Astyanax mexicanus: one gene and its partner. The protein of the gene in region 1 interacts with the protein of each later gene in a pairwise test. Links are inferred from orthologs where the notes say so. Each region holds a gene or a part of one and is shown on either strand. Other genes may lie near its edges.

Region 1 (6,857 bases):
ACTGAAACATTTTATTAATTTAAAAAATGTTCTACTGCAAAACATCAAAATTATACTGTTAGTATAGTGTAGTGTAGTATAGTGTAACACTTTAAACATACCGTAGAACTTACCATGAGTCTGATTTTGTGTGAAATAATAATATAACAAAATAATGTAACATACGAACAATGTAATGTACCACAATACTAAAGTGCTGAATATTTATTAATGCACATAAACTGCAAAAAAAAAAGAGTCATACAAAAAGCATTAACGCTTCACAGTATATAGAATACTTTTAGGACATAATACTACTATTATCAAAATCTAACTATTTATCTATGGGGTTTGTTAATTAATTATTTTTACAAATGTCTGTAAATGACAACTGCATGTCTAGGTATATCAAGGTACTTGCTTTTATACCCCTGAATTCAATAATTAAAAGTGTGTCCCAATAATGTTGTACTCTTGTCCATAAAGTGTATGTTTTTAATTCAAATATATGAGTGTAAATCATCGATAATCCAGTAAAAACCTTCATATCAAAAACTTCTACATAAACATTGTTTTACAATGGCATCACACAAAAACCCACCTGAAGCACCTATAGTTTTAAGAATGTAAGTCAGAGTATCTGACCAAAGTCAGAACCAGAAATAGACATCACCTCTAGTAAATGATTATTAGCTGTTATTTGTGAGAATTTAGTAAGAGATCAGTAATGCTGAGTGTTCACTAACCTTGTAGCCACATCTTTTGTAGTATTCTTCTTCCTCCTTTCGGGCTAGATCAGCACGCTTAAAGTACTTCTTTGAGCTCTAAAAAAGTAGAAGGGTAAAGTGTTATTATGACATGTTTGGGTTAGTGATAGACACAACAAAATAAACACTCAATAAATATCAGATCATTTAATATTAAAATGACTTCTGGGCATTTAAAATGGATTAAATCTGTCAACTGTTTCTATCATTTCTATCAGTTATCAAACCAACCTTGTCTAACCGTCTCTAAAAGGGCCAAAGACAGATATTAAACAAACAACCATTCTAACCAGATTTAACTAGGCCAAACCCTAACTGGATCTAATCGGGACAAACCAAGTTATCAAATCATCAAATTAGTCGACTCTCATTAGTTGCAGCCTTAATCCATAAAAACAGCTGTACATGATACAACTGTCTGAGCTCATAATCCTCCTCTCTATTACACTTGTTAATATAGTTTTAATATATTTAGTAATATGTTTAATGTAAATAAATCTAAATCCTTGCTTAACGTCCATTCTTGATTAATTTTAAACAATATAAACATTAGCTGGACTTTTTAAAGTAGCTCCTAAGGTGACCTCGTGTTGAACATAAATGTTTAATTAGATCTCGTTCTTTGGCTTTTACATCAGCTGGAAAACAACAAAATCGCCGGGTGCGTTCCAATCCGCGTTGTGTATCCACTACATAGTAGGCTACACGTATCTAGTGCATTCTAGAAAAATCGTAGGTCTAGTATGAGTTAAATCTAATCATATGTACTAGATACTGATAGCATACCAAATGCGTACTGGGACACATCATTTTATATGCGTTTTCTGAACAACTGAGTAGAACTAACGGGCTGTGAGTGGGTTTAGAACTCTAACCCTAGTGCAGTAGCTACCAAGTGTAGTTGAATCTAGTGAACAACGTAGTGTGCAGCATGCTAACGCTAGCTAGCTAATGTGCTAAATAGCAACTGGTAGCCTCTTAGTCCAGACTTTCTCGCACTCGCAGGAGTAACAATGTGAGTGTTCAGCGCTGATAGCTAACATTAATTTAAAAAGGAACCAATCAGCTAGCTAGCCAGGTTAGCTAGCTGGACAACACGCCACAGACAGATGCAGCTCAGATTGGAGCACAGCCGCCGTATGGAAAACTCCAGCGCTACCACCGTGAATAAAGAGCTTGTTTTCATCACTCACATCAACCAGCTGTTTCTCCTCCATCAGCTTCCTCTTCCTCGCGATCTCGGCTTTTAGGATATCCATGTTTATGAGCGCAGAGTAGCGGGTTTTCGCTAAACACGCTGATTTTGAATCCTACAGCTCCCAGACTGTTGTGGAAGTTGTATCCGGTGAGTTCCTGCCTGTGTTGGGGGCCGCAGAACGCGGTGGCGCTCTCTGGCGACTCCCACTGGAATTACAGACACAACCCTGCTACACGTTTTTATCATTAACACATTTTCTTTATCTGATGTACAGTTCCAGACAAAAGTTAATACACACTTAAAATACAGTTGTATTTTATTACAGCACACATTACCAATTTACAGTCAAAGGTTAGGTCTAAAATTAGCTATTTTCAGATCTGAATTATTTCCAGTAATGGAAAAAATGTAAGAATGCTGTTTTTGTCCGTTATGCACTAAAATAAATAATATTAGTAATATTCTACTATTAAATCTATATAGCAAATAAATTCTATTAACTAAAATATTTAATACTTTTTTATTTCTATTGAGCTTTTCATTTCATAAACCATCCCTGAACAGTAAACATACAATACAAAAGTTGGCATATGCTTCTTTATTTCAATTTTAAAAAGCATAGAGAGTGGAAAGCTCTTTTTAATTTTACATTTATGAATATAAAAAATAGCTAACATCCACATTAGAAGGCTTTAGTTTTCTCTTTTGAATATCTTTTGCAAACATAAATGAAAAACATTTTTGAAAAGTGATTCCAATCGATTTTCAAAAAGATTAAATATTTTTTAAAAGTGATTTGAATCGTTTGAAAAAAAAATATTTTCGAAAGATGGTTGCAATCAGTTCACATTTAAGCGCTGGTTTATGCTTGGCAGTGATTATATGCAACTGTGATTATTTGTATTTTTTTATATATATATTTCCATTTATCTTTGAAAAAAGTGACATTTGTGTGAAATCAGTGTTTATATTCTAGATGACAAAAGGATAGCAGATCTCCTGTTTTTATCACATATTAATATTTATTAGTTATAAGTCTTGGGTTCGATGTAAGGTGGTTGGATGTCTCTTTTATCAAAAAGAAAGCAGGATGGTGACGGATTACCAACAGATATTTAAACAAATAAACAAACCATATTTTTCTTTTTACTGTTGCAGTACTAGGATTTTAAATCCTAAAACATTTTAAAACTATTAAAATCTATTAACCATTTAGTTTATTATGTCAAATAGAAAGCTTATATTTATATAATTATGTTGTCCTAAATTTAAAAAGTAGCTGGAGTTTTAAAACCATTCACAGAGATACCATTATTGATTGGAGAAAGCGCAGTGCAGCGCCCTCTTTTGGTTCTGTGTGTAACTACATGCGGTTGGGTAATACATCACATGTGGTACAAACTAAGTTAAAACTGCCTGACTGGTGGTCACTTGTGGGCTGTTTTAGTAGCCTACAACAGTCGACCCAGGTATGTTGCAAGAAGATACCCCAGCTGGAGATATCAGTCTTATATGTTTCATATACTAAATGCTTCCCTGGACACACTGTGTAATTATTTATTTAAAAGACCATGATCATTATAGCTTTACAGTCTTTTTTCTATTGCCTATACAATGCATCCCATTAATCACACCAACACTGACCTGTTTAAAAAGGATAATGGAAGTGGAATTTGAATTGTGAGATGGATTAATTTGTTAGATAATCGATATCCATGTGAGGTCGAAAATGGATCAAACTTAAGAGAAAACTTAGTTTTTTTGTGTAAAAGTGGTACTTGTCCAGCAGAGTGGATCTGGACATTACTATTTGAGCCCCACAAAATATTAGCTACCATCAGGTGGCGCAAAGGACTAGATGTGACGATTTTTTTAAAGAATTAACTGATTTATTTATTTACATCACAAACGAGCGGCCCTGAATGGACGCCAGCGCGGAGAGCGCGATGCCCCGAGCTCAGACGCGCCTCTGACGGGCTTTGGGGAGCTGTGGCCGGGCAGGGAGGCGGTAGACGGGAGCTGTGGCCGCTCTGATGAGTTTTTACTGATTAAGCAGACGGACCACGGTCGGTCCCTGCAGGGCTGCTGCTGCTGCCACCGCCGCCGCCACCGCCACTGCCGCCGCCGCCACTGCTGCTGCTGATGAACAGGGCGACTCCGGTACCGCCGCGCGCGCACGGTCCGCTCTGTCTCCGGTACAATGGAGTTTGGGGAGAGGAGACGGAGCAGAAAATCTCCGAGCTTTAAACTGGTCAGCGAGCAAGGTAAGGAGGTTTAATGAGCGCAGCAGGGGCGCAGACAGCCAGCCAGCAACAAGCAGACAATAGGAGAGGGAGGGAGGGGGGGGGGGGGGGGGGGCATGAGAGAGAGAGAGTGAGAGAGAGAGCTGCACATTAACTGCATGACCACTAGCATGAAAAAAAAAACACGTCTGTGCTGAAGTGATGCTGATGCTGCTGAAGTGATGCTGATGCTGTTGCTATTGGAGATGCGCGCGCGCTTCCAAGCTTCCGTCTCCCGGGTGGTACCGGCATGTCTGACCGGTTCACCAGGAGAGATTATGATGTGACTCTCCGGACTGAGCCGTTTTAATCTCGCCGTTTTTCTTTCTCTCTCCCGGCTGCTTACAGGTGCGCACGAGACACCGAGTCGTTCTTCTGATTCGGTTCTTTTTTCTCTGAATTCCCCGAACCGATTCGAACTGAATCAACGTTTTATTGCATGTCAGAAATGAAAGGTCTGCAGAAGCATCTTATAGCAAGGAATAATACTTAAACTTATTCCGCTCCATGTATTATAGGTCATAAACTGAATAAAAAAGTGCAATTCAATATTTCTTGTTCATCTGGCATAAAAATTACATTAAGGAGAACAATTTTAAGTTTAGTTTTTTTTTTACAGAGTGCTGGTATAGGTAAAATGACAGAACCCTAAACGGTCTAAAGTAGAAAAACGAATATTTACAGACATAGTCTGATAGACTGTTCTCTATATTTCTTAAACGATTCCCTCAGTTTAGAAAGGATGATTTAGTTTAACCAAGGAAACAAGTTATTAAACAATTGATTAAACTTAGTAAATCAAGGAAATGCTTTAAGAAATCTAAATAATATTTTTATGTTTTGATACAGTATCAGTCAAACATTTGGAGTTTGGACACACTTTCTCATTCAAAGTTTGTCTTTACTTATTTATTTTCTACATTGTAGCTTAATGTTAGAGACATAAAAACAATAAGGGACACTATGGAATTATGTTGTAAAATCAAAAAAGTGTTTGGCCAACTGAGATAGGAGATTTGAGATGAGTTGGAGCTTCACAGCAGGAAAAGCAGCAGCTATTGTTTAGCACCCCCAGAAAATCCTTCAAGACACTGAGAAAACTATTCCAGGTGACTCTCCCTCATGAAGACACTGAGATTAAAATACTAAAAGTGTGCAGATCTTTTCTCTGTTCTTCTCAATTGGATGAGAACAAAAACTTCAAATCTACGGGTGAATCAATGATTCGTTGAAACATTTGCTCCATTGAAAGATTCAGTTCGAAAGAATTGGTTCAGTAAAATGAATCAAACGTTCAAGAATCTGTGTAATGAAGTTATGAAGCTTTTATGGAGATGTTCAAGCACAGTTTCATCCTTTTAGCATTTAGAGTTTCCTGAACCTGTGTATAGTGAACTAAACTTATGTTTAACATAGTAAATTAATAAAGAAACATTTCCCACAGACTATGGGCCTGGATTTGACAGCCCTGACCATGATGACACAGACAGTGAACCACTGGACATATCAGAGAATGAAGGTACTGTTCCCGATATTGCTTTTTATTTATAACTACATGCTGTTTTTACGTATATAGGGTAATTATACAGCATTTAGAACTAAACTAAACGTACACTTACACATTGTACACATTGTTTGTGTTGTAATATTATTTTACCACCTTTGTGTTAACTATTTCTCTTCCAGCCTGGCTAGGTGACGAGGGTACGGAAATTAAAAAGCAGATCACAGGTATGATGCGGCTGTTGAGTGACAAGTCTGGGCGAGGGTACCAGCGAGTAGAAAGAGAGGGGGAGGCTGTCAAAGAGGAACCCCAGGAGGAGGCTCTGAGCTGGACTTTACCTCAGAACCAAGCCCCTGAGGAACCCCAGCACTGCTGGAGCTCAGCTCCACCCATGTCCCACAGTCAGTACGACACTCGTTCCAAAACCCAGAAGATACTCAACAACTCCAAAAGCAGAGGTGAATCAGAATCACTCTGTTTCACCAGTAATGAGTAATATTACAGGCGTGGGTTACAGTTCTGACACGGAATGAGTCACAACATCTAAACATCTAAAATCTAAACATAAAAAATGTGTTGCACAAGTTTTAATCATGGGAAGTTTTCTAAAATCAACATAGGGTCCAAATTGTACATATAGGATCAAAAGATTTATAAAAAATGTATCTGAAAATTAATATGTTTACTTAAGTAATTAGTTAAGTAGACATTATTTTACAGAATGGTATTTAAATCACTATATAGACCAAATACCGCTAACAGGAATGTCTAAGACATTTGCAGAATCAGAAATCCCATTTTGGTCAGTTGGCATCTCCCAACCCGGTACATAACAGTGTGTTCATGTCCACATCTCTAGTAAACCAAGAACAAGAACGTACTGTGCTGTTATCACCAAGCTAGACACACTGAGATACAATTTACTTCTTGGGTTTGTTCAACAGAGTCTTCAGATTGAGAGATGCATACAAACAGCAGAGCATGGTGCAAAATGTGGCACCTTTGAAAATTAGATTTTAAAGCTCTTTCTCTGAGCAATATGTTTTTATTAGTTTTGTAAAACAAATACTAATAACTAATCAGCAATTCGTAAAAGCAATTTTTTTCAAGCATGGCTGCAAACTTTA
Region 2 (7,117 bases), on another chromosome or scaffold:
GTGTCAAGTCTAAAAATATGGAGATCAGCTGAATTGGACACTCTGAATTGCCCCAAAGAATTTTAATATTGTAAATTGGAAACTCTAAATTCCCCCGAAAGAATTGATAATCTAAATTGGATACTCTAAATTGGTTTATTGAATACTCTGTGTGCAAGAATTGTGTGCGAGAAGTTTCGGTTGAGAGTGTGCTGTGCACAATTGGCTACCGCTTCTCACCTGTGTGTGTATGTGTATAAATGGTTTTGAGTGAAATGTGTCTATAAGGCGTTCTTAGGTTTCCAGAAATCTGCTATATAAATGTATGGTCACATAAGTGTGTGGGTTTTTTGTGTGCTTTTGAAAATTCTGCAGCATTTTTTCTTCTTCTTCTTTTTTTTTTTTTTTAGGGCGCAGATTTGTCTCATGTGTTCTGCACCAAAGATGCCGCTACTGTGATCAAGTCCTATAGTCCTGAGCTCATAGTTCATCCTGTGCTGTGAGTGGATTCGTCTTATCCTTAGGTTGGTTATTATACCTTCACTAATAATTAGAGATGTAAACAATGAGAGTTTTGTGTGTTTTGCAACTTCCAGAGATAGTCCCAATGCTGTGGAGGAGATTGAGAAATGGCTTCCCAGGCTACATAGTCTGGTGGTGGGTCCTGGATTAGGGAGGGAAGATGTGATCCTCAAGGCTGCCAAGGTAGGGGGAAAGACTAACAACTGAAGGTTGTATATAATATATGGCATTAGTATTGTGATAATATACTCCTTAATACATTTCCTTGTGGTTTTGTTATAGGAGGTTATTGAAAAGTCAAAATCCAGAGGAATCCCCATTGTTATTGATGCAGTAAGTAACACATTTATAAATAAATGTAATGTGTATTTGTGAAAGAGTAAGTAAGTGGTAAAAATTCAGATTATTTTTTAAATCATGTTTTGTGTGTTTTCCTACAGGATGGGCTTTGGTTAATTGCCAAGGACCCTTCACTCATCCAGTTTTATCAGAGGGGCATTTTGACGCCCAACTTTATGGAGTTTACTCGTCTCTATGAGGCTATGGTAAGGGTTGTATTCATGTTTGATTTGCTTTGTTGTCTTTTGTTAACTAGCAGTTTCAATAGTCAACAATCAGTTATACTGTTGCCATGTTAATCTATAAAGAAAGCCCAACACTGTTCACAGAATGCTGAACTATTTCACTTGTTATTTTTAGCACCACAGGCCCCTGGACAGTACAGACCTCAAGAGTTGTGCCCAACAACTAAGCCTTGCAATGGGCAATGTGACCATTGTTTTGAAGGGAGAGGAGGATATCATCACAGATGGCAACAGAGGTCAGCATAAAGACATATTTGCACTCTCTCTGTGAGCTAAGCAGTGGTTCTCAAACTATTTACACCATGTACCACAAATGGCACACATGCTTATTTTTGCACAGTAAGATAGACGTGTAATCCACAAACATATACACATGTCCTCATAGCTTTCACAGACTGTTCTTCATTCTTCTGTTGTGTGCGGCTTGCCCACTCTTTTGCAGTCTGTAAGTTAGTATTAAGTTATTTAATTGACTGTAGTTTTTTGGTTAATACAGTATTTTATCCTACTGAGACTCTCAGAATCAGGATTTAGACAAAAGAAAACAATACACCAGTGTATTACCAGTGTAGACCACTGGTCTATAGCTTTGTTTATTTATTTATTTATTTAAGTTTAAGATATTGTTTGTTTATTTATTTATTTTTTTCTTTGGTGTCTCTCTTTCACCAGTGCTAAGCTGTATTCATTCAGGGAGCGGACGTCGATGTGGGGGGCAGGGAGATCTTCTCTCCGGTTCTTTAGGTGTCTTCGCCCACTGGGCAGTCAGCTCAACCCCAGATGCAACCAAAGGGTAGGGCTGGTTATCATTTTAAAATTTTAATTACAAATGCCCAAATTATAATTATTTATTTTTTTTGTTCTTCAAAAACCTTTTTATAAAAAAAGTGACAATTATTCTCACACAGCGTATTTATTTAATAAACGTCGACAACAGCCCTAGTCCCCAGTTTAATCACTGTTTGGAGTAGTGCACTTAGTTGGGTGTCAGTAATGTTTTAATTTAAATATGTGGGAATATTTCTCTTTCTCTCACTTGCCAGAATGAACCCTACGCTCGTGGCTGCATTTGCCGCTACCTCGCTGACCAGGCAGTGTAACAGGCAAGCCTTTGACCGGCATGGTCGCGCCACCACAACCTCCGACATGATCCAGGAGATCTGCACTGCCTTTAGGAAGCTGTTTGAAAGTTAAACTAGATGCAAACTCCACGCCCTGGGTGCTCAGTTTCAGTCCTGTGCAACACGTTTTTTCAGTAGCTCCCCTTAACGGAAAAAGGAAGCAGAGAAACCAGATGTACACAGCACTTGTTCACACACAGTTCTCAATCATCATGCTTGTCTGCTAAGTCCTTTTATAACTTGGGTTTTTTTTCCTTCCTTCCTTTCCTTTCTCTTGTCAACTGTGCTCCATTTCCTGCAGTCTTTTTTTTTTTCCTTCATTTTTTTATTTCATTGTGTTGTAGCGTAGCTGCAGCAACAACAAGATCCTCACAACTGATCTAGAGTAGCACTTCCAAGTTGCTTGTTTGTTGTCTGTTCATTGTCAGAAATGGGTTCTGGTCACAGGCAGACATTAAATGTTGCATTATTTAATTTGACCCACTGACCTTTTGGGATGTATGGCGGCAAAACTGTTATAAATTATTATGATGTGGCTGGACATAGTCCACTAAAGCCTGCCGACACCAAACAGCAACATAAAAAATGTTAATGTTAAAAATATTTAATATATATATATATTTAATCGCATCAAAACAAAATTGTATCAGTGAGCAAAACAGCACCTTCCAGCACTGGTATTGTTTTCTGCACTTAACCAGACTTTTATTTCAAAGTGCCTCTTTGTAGGTTTTTAATCCTGTCAACCACACCAGCCCTTTATCTCTCTAACAATGTTGTATGTTTTAACATACAGGACAGATGTTTTATATAATCAAATCCTACAATAAAATCCTTTATTGTATTTTCATTCTGTTCTATTGGAACTTCTGCAGTTAGAGCCCCATATCTAAGTATGATTCATTGACCGTGGTGCTCTTTGATATATATCTAAAGATTTTATTAGATATGTAGTTTGCCAATGTACACCCACATATGTAAGAAAAGTGGTTATTATTCCTTATTAGGGCTCATATATATGCAAAGGCCATGTCTAGTCTCATACCCTTGTGGCTCTAGAAGTGTATCACTGTGCTCTCAATATTACCACATACTTGGATGACATCTGTGTTCAACATTTCCATTGATTTTTATTGATTTACATGATCTATATGATTTACAGCACTTCAGTGTTTTTCTTATGCATTCATGCCATATTGTTTTGTATGTCAAATTCTTTAAAACCCATGTTCTTATGTTTTGACCTGGTCCCTTTTTAAAGTCATATTTGCAGGTCTGTGTTCATAAAAAACAGATTTCTTTAATTAGAAATCGTTTAATGTATATAGGTATTGGGTATAATTTGCAGTGATGAGTTACATATCTTTATGTATTCTAACTTCTTTATATATTTTGTCTATCTTTAAAATTGTTACAGGAAGCTATAATAAAAATAGATTCCAGTGTATGTGTGTTTGTGTGGATCTTTTGTTTACAAATAAAACCTGTAAGGGTTTTAGTGTTAGGCTTTTTTTCTGCCTGTATATTGTGTATAATCACATATTTATAGATGGAAGAAAGGCAGGTGATCTAAATTAAATATTAACATTTAGGATTTTATTTAATTATCTGAAATTTTGCATAGTTCTCTCAGTAATTAATTCGCTCAGTTTACAGTGAGATATATTGATTTTGTTAATTTGTTGAAGGTACAAAATATAAAATGTAAATATATTATTTAAAAGTTATGCTATAAAATGTATAAACTTAGTTAAGTAGCTCTTATATTACATATCTATCTTGATTCTTTAGGGGCTCAGTGTTTAATACATTTTTTTTAATTTGTTTTATATTTAAACTACCTGTCTGTGGTTGGTTGGTGAGGACTTTTATTTTGAAGAGCGCTAATGGGCTGAAAATCCCTTTGAGGACCGAGTTGAGTTGTCCGCGGCGCGCCTGAAGTGGCTAGAGTTACTTGCGCTGTAGATGGTGTGGAAAGACGTGGAAAGTTGGAATCTGGTAGAAAACTGGATTTAGAATGAATGGAACAGCTTACCCAAACTTTGACAATCAAGAACATGTTCTCAAATTAGGAGAAACCTTTGAGAAACAGCCAAAAAGTGCCTTCCATACGGTGCGATGTAAGTGTTCGTTTCTTATATCGACATTTAAACGAAAATATTATATTGTTAAACACATATATGCTACTTTACCCATTGTTTTATCGGTGTTTACTTGTTTTATATATACTACTAATTCTAAAAATGTTACTCGTGGATTTTCCTGTTTTTCTGAAAATGAATGTAGTTTAGTTACAGGCAGTTTGTGAGGCAGCTGGCGGCGAGGAGTCTAGTTAACGTTACCTGCTGGCTAATAACAAGTGTGTTAAATGTAATAAATAGCGTTTAATCCATATTTATATTGCAGTAATATTTACTCATAGTTTGTACTAATCATATTATTGATGTGGTTTTCTAGTGTTTGGGTTAATTTCTCTCTTCTGTTTGAACTGAACTGTTAACTTTAGACTGCAGTTCACCGTGTAGAAGCGCCCCCTGCTGGAGCTGCGGCTCAACTGCTGCTGAACTCCGCTTTTTTTATAAAGTTTAAACTAAGTTACAGTTTTTATTCACATGTATTTTTGGTATATAATGAGTCAAAATATCACGTACATTAAAATCTATCAATGTAGAAGCAGTTTAAAAGTGTAAACTTGTATTTACAACAATTTAAAGCCTAGTGTATCATATTTCACCCTATTTGCAACATTTGTTTTGCTAGTTAACCGAGTAATTTAATTTTTAACCCTTTATGCCACATTATTTTTATTTTTTTGGAAGGATAATAATAACCACCACTGCTTTAGCATTGTTCCCAACAAAGTGGTCTAGCTGCATAACAAAACCAAATGTGAAGTTTTGAGGCATTATGTGAAACCAAAAAAAAAATTTTTTTTTTCTATATATGTTTTTTTTTTTTGTTTTTTGTTTTTTGTTTTTGCAATATCATCCCTAGTGTAAATATTTAATTTGGTTAATTAATCACTTACATATACAACTTCATTGATTTGATTTCCCAATTTCATGTAATGAAAATAACAAATATTTTTTTCTTAGAATATGTGCTTATAACACTCCTCTCTGATGTCTGATGTCTGTATTGTGTTTTTGCAGATGACTTCAAGCCCGCCTCCATAGACACTACCTGTGAGGGAGATCTAGAGGTGGGCAAAGGAGAACAGGTCACTATAACACTGCCTAACCTGGAGGTATGTCAGATGTAGGTCTGTGTGTTCTACAGTAATTGAAGAGAATATAAAGTGATATTGTGTTAATATTACTCTTAATCCCTCACAGGGATCTACTGCTCCAGTCACAGTGTTCAAAGGGTCCAAAAGGCCGTACATGAAGGAGTGCATTCTTATTGTAAACCATGATACCGGAGAGTATCGCCTGGAGAAGCTTAGTAGCAACATTGCAGTTAAAAAGACAAGGTAGGTATTCTTTACCATAGTTGCGTTTCATTTGATTCTGTGCTAAATTATTATATAAAGTGATACAGGTGCAAAATCTGCACTGAAAGGCTTTGTCAAACACACTGTGTGAATGAAGTTACACTTATACACACAACCATTACACTCAGCACTCATTCACACACACATTGGTGAGTAGCAGCAGCCAATTGCACACAGCGTACTCTTAACCGGAAACAACTTTTCTGCATCCAGCACTGAGAAGCTGACCTAGCACAGAGTGCTAATCCATAGCTGGGCATACAATCATACACAAACACACCTACACACCAGGACAATTTAGAGTACCCAATGGTTATGGGCAATTTAGTGCACCCAATTGTTCCCAATTGTTGCAATTTAGAGTATCATATTGTTAGAGTACCCAAATGTTCCAAGCAGTTTCGAGTACCCAATTGTTCCCAAGTGTTGCGATTTAGAGTACCCAATTGTTCCAAGCTATTTAGAGTACCTCATTGTTCTTGGAAAATTTAAACTACCCGATTTTTTCCAATTGTTGCAATTTAGAGTACCCAATTTTTTCTGAGCAATTTAGAGTACACAGTTTACCTGATCTCCATGTTTTTGGACTGCAGAAGGAGACCGGAGTCCACAGAGGAAACCTAATAAAATGTTCGTCTTTCTCTCTCTTTCTCTGGCTACACAAAGGGCTGAGGGCAGCAGTAAGATCCAGTCACGTCTGGAGCAGCAGACCAATCGGCTCAGTCAGCAGATGAAGAGTGGCAGTGGAGGGAAAGCTTCAGCCAGCTCTAAGAGTTCCCCCCCTAAAGAGAAGATGTCTCCTGCGTCCCCGATGGATGATATTGAGAGAGGTAAAGTTTGTGCTTTGGCTGTTTGATATAAAAAAAGTACTTATTATATTCTTCAAGTAGAAGAGTGACTCTTATATAACAACTAAGAAAGTCAAAAATTGTATGAAAGCAATAGTTTTCAGAATGATCAATTTACTATTCACCAGGAGGGGATTTTATTACCATTCTGTTTGAATCTCCATTGAACAATTTTGACTTTTCACACATTTTATAAACAACAGATTAACTCTTCCAGTATTTTTATGGCGCAGAAGGTTCCAGCATGTTCATAGACTGCTCTTCCAGTTGCACATCCTCTCGTGTCTCCATATGTTGTGTAGAGCTGATGGCTGAGGCGCGAGTGATGGATCAGATGAGCAGTGGCGACAGCTCCTCAGACTCTCACAGCTCCTCATCGTCCAGCAGTGAGGACAGCTCCAGCAGCAGTGACTCGGAGGATGAGCGCCGTCCTCCGTCAAGTGGACACGGAACGGGCTCTGCCCCCACCCAGAGCATGCCCATCCTCACCACTCAGGAGCGCATGGAGGACGGGGGTGGACACCTCATGAACACACTCAGTGAGTATTACACTTCTCAGCGCTGATCAGC

Evidence for each region. The genes of interacting proteins can lie anywhere in the genome.
Region 2: the proteins of bend7 (region 1) and eaf2 interact in binary tests that used the Homo sapiens proteins (3 or more experiments, as listed by UniProt). The two-hybrid records come from large-scale screens. The link is inferred for Astyanax mexicanus from reciprocal best matches to the Homo sapiens genes BEND7 and EAF2.

What each region holds. Positions count from the first base shown.
Region 1 is NC_064416.1:15,392,786-15,399,642, reverse strand, and holds the start of bend7 (BEN domain-containing protein 7), read left to right. Parts: upstream 1-3,830; 5' UTR 3,831-4,144; coding exon 4,145-4,208; intron 4,209-5,670; coding exon 5,671-5,745; intron 5,746-5,912; coding exon 5,913-6,188; intron 6,189-6,857. Other genes in the region: prpf18 (pre-mRNA-splicing factor 18), read right to left, coding at 726-803, 1,940-2,005.
Region 2 is NC_064418.1:8,903,315-8,910,431, reverse strand, and holds the start of eaf2 (ELL-associated factor 2), read left to right. Parts: upstream 1-4,099; 5' UTR 4,100-4,223; coding exon 4,224-4,326; intron 4,327-5,358; coding exon 5,359-5,453; intron 5,454-5,541; coding exon 5,542-5,678; intron 5,679-6,365; coding exon 6,366-6,529; intron 6,530-6,849; coding exon 6,850-7,086; intron 7,087-7,117. Other genes in the region: naxd (ATP-dependent (S)-NAD(P)H-hydrate dehydratase), read left to right, coding at 390-478, 576-684, 784-834, 942-1,046, 1,201-1,321, 1,758-1,878, 2,129-2,279. UniProt on the Homo sapiens protein: Acts as a transcriptional transactivator of TCEA1 elongation activity. Acts as a transcriptional transactivator of ELL and ELL2 elongation activities. Potent inducer of apoptosis in prostatic and non-prostatic cell lines.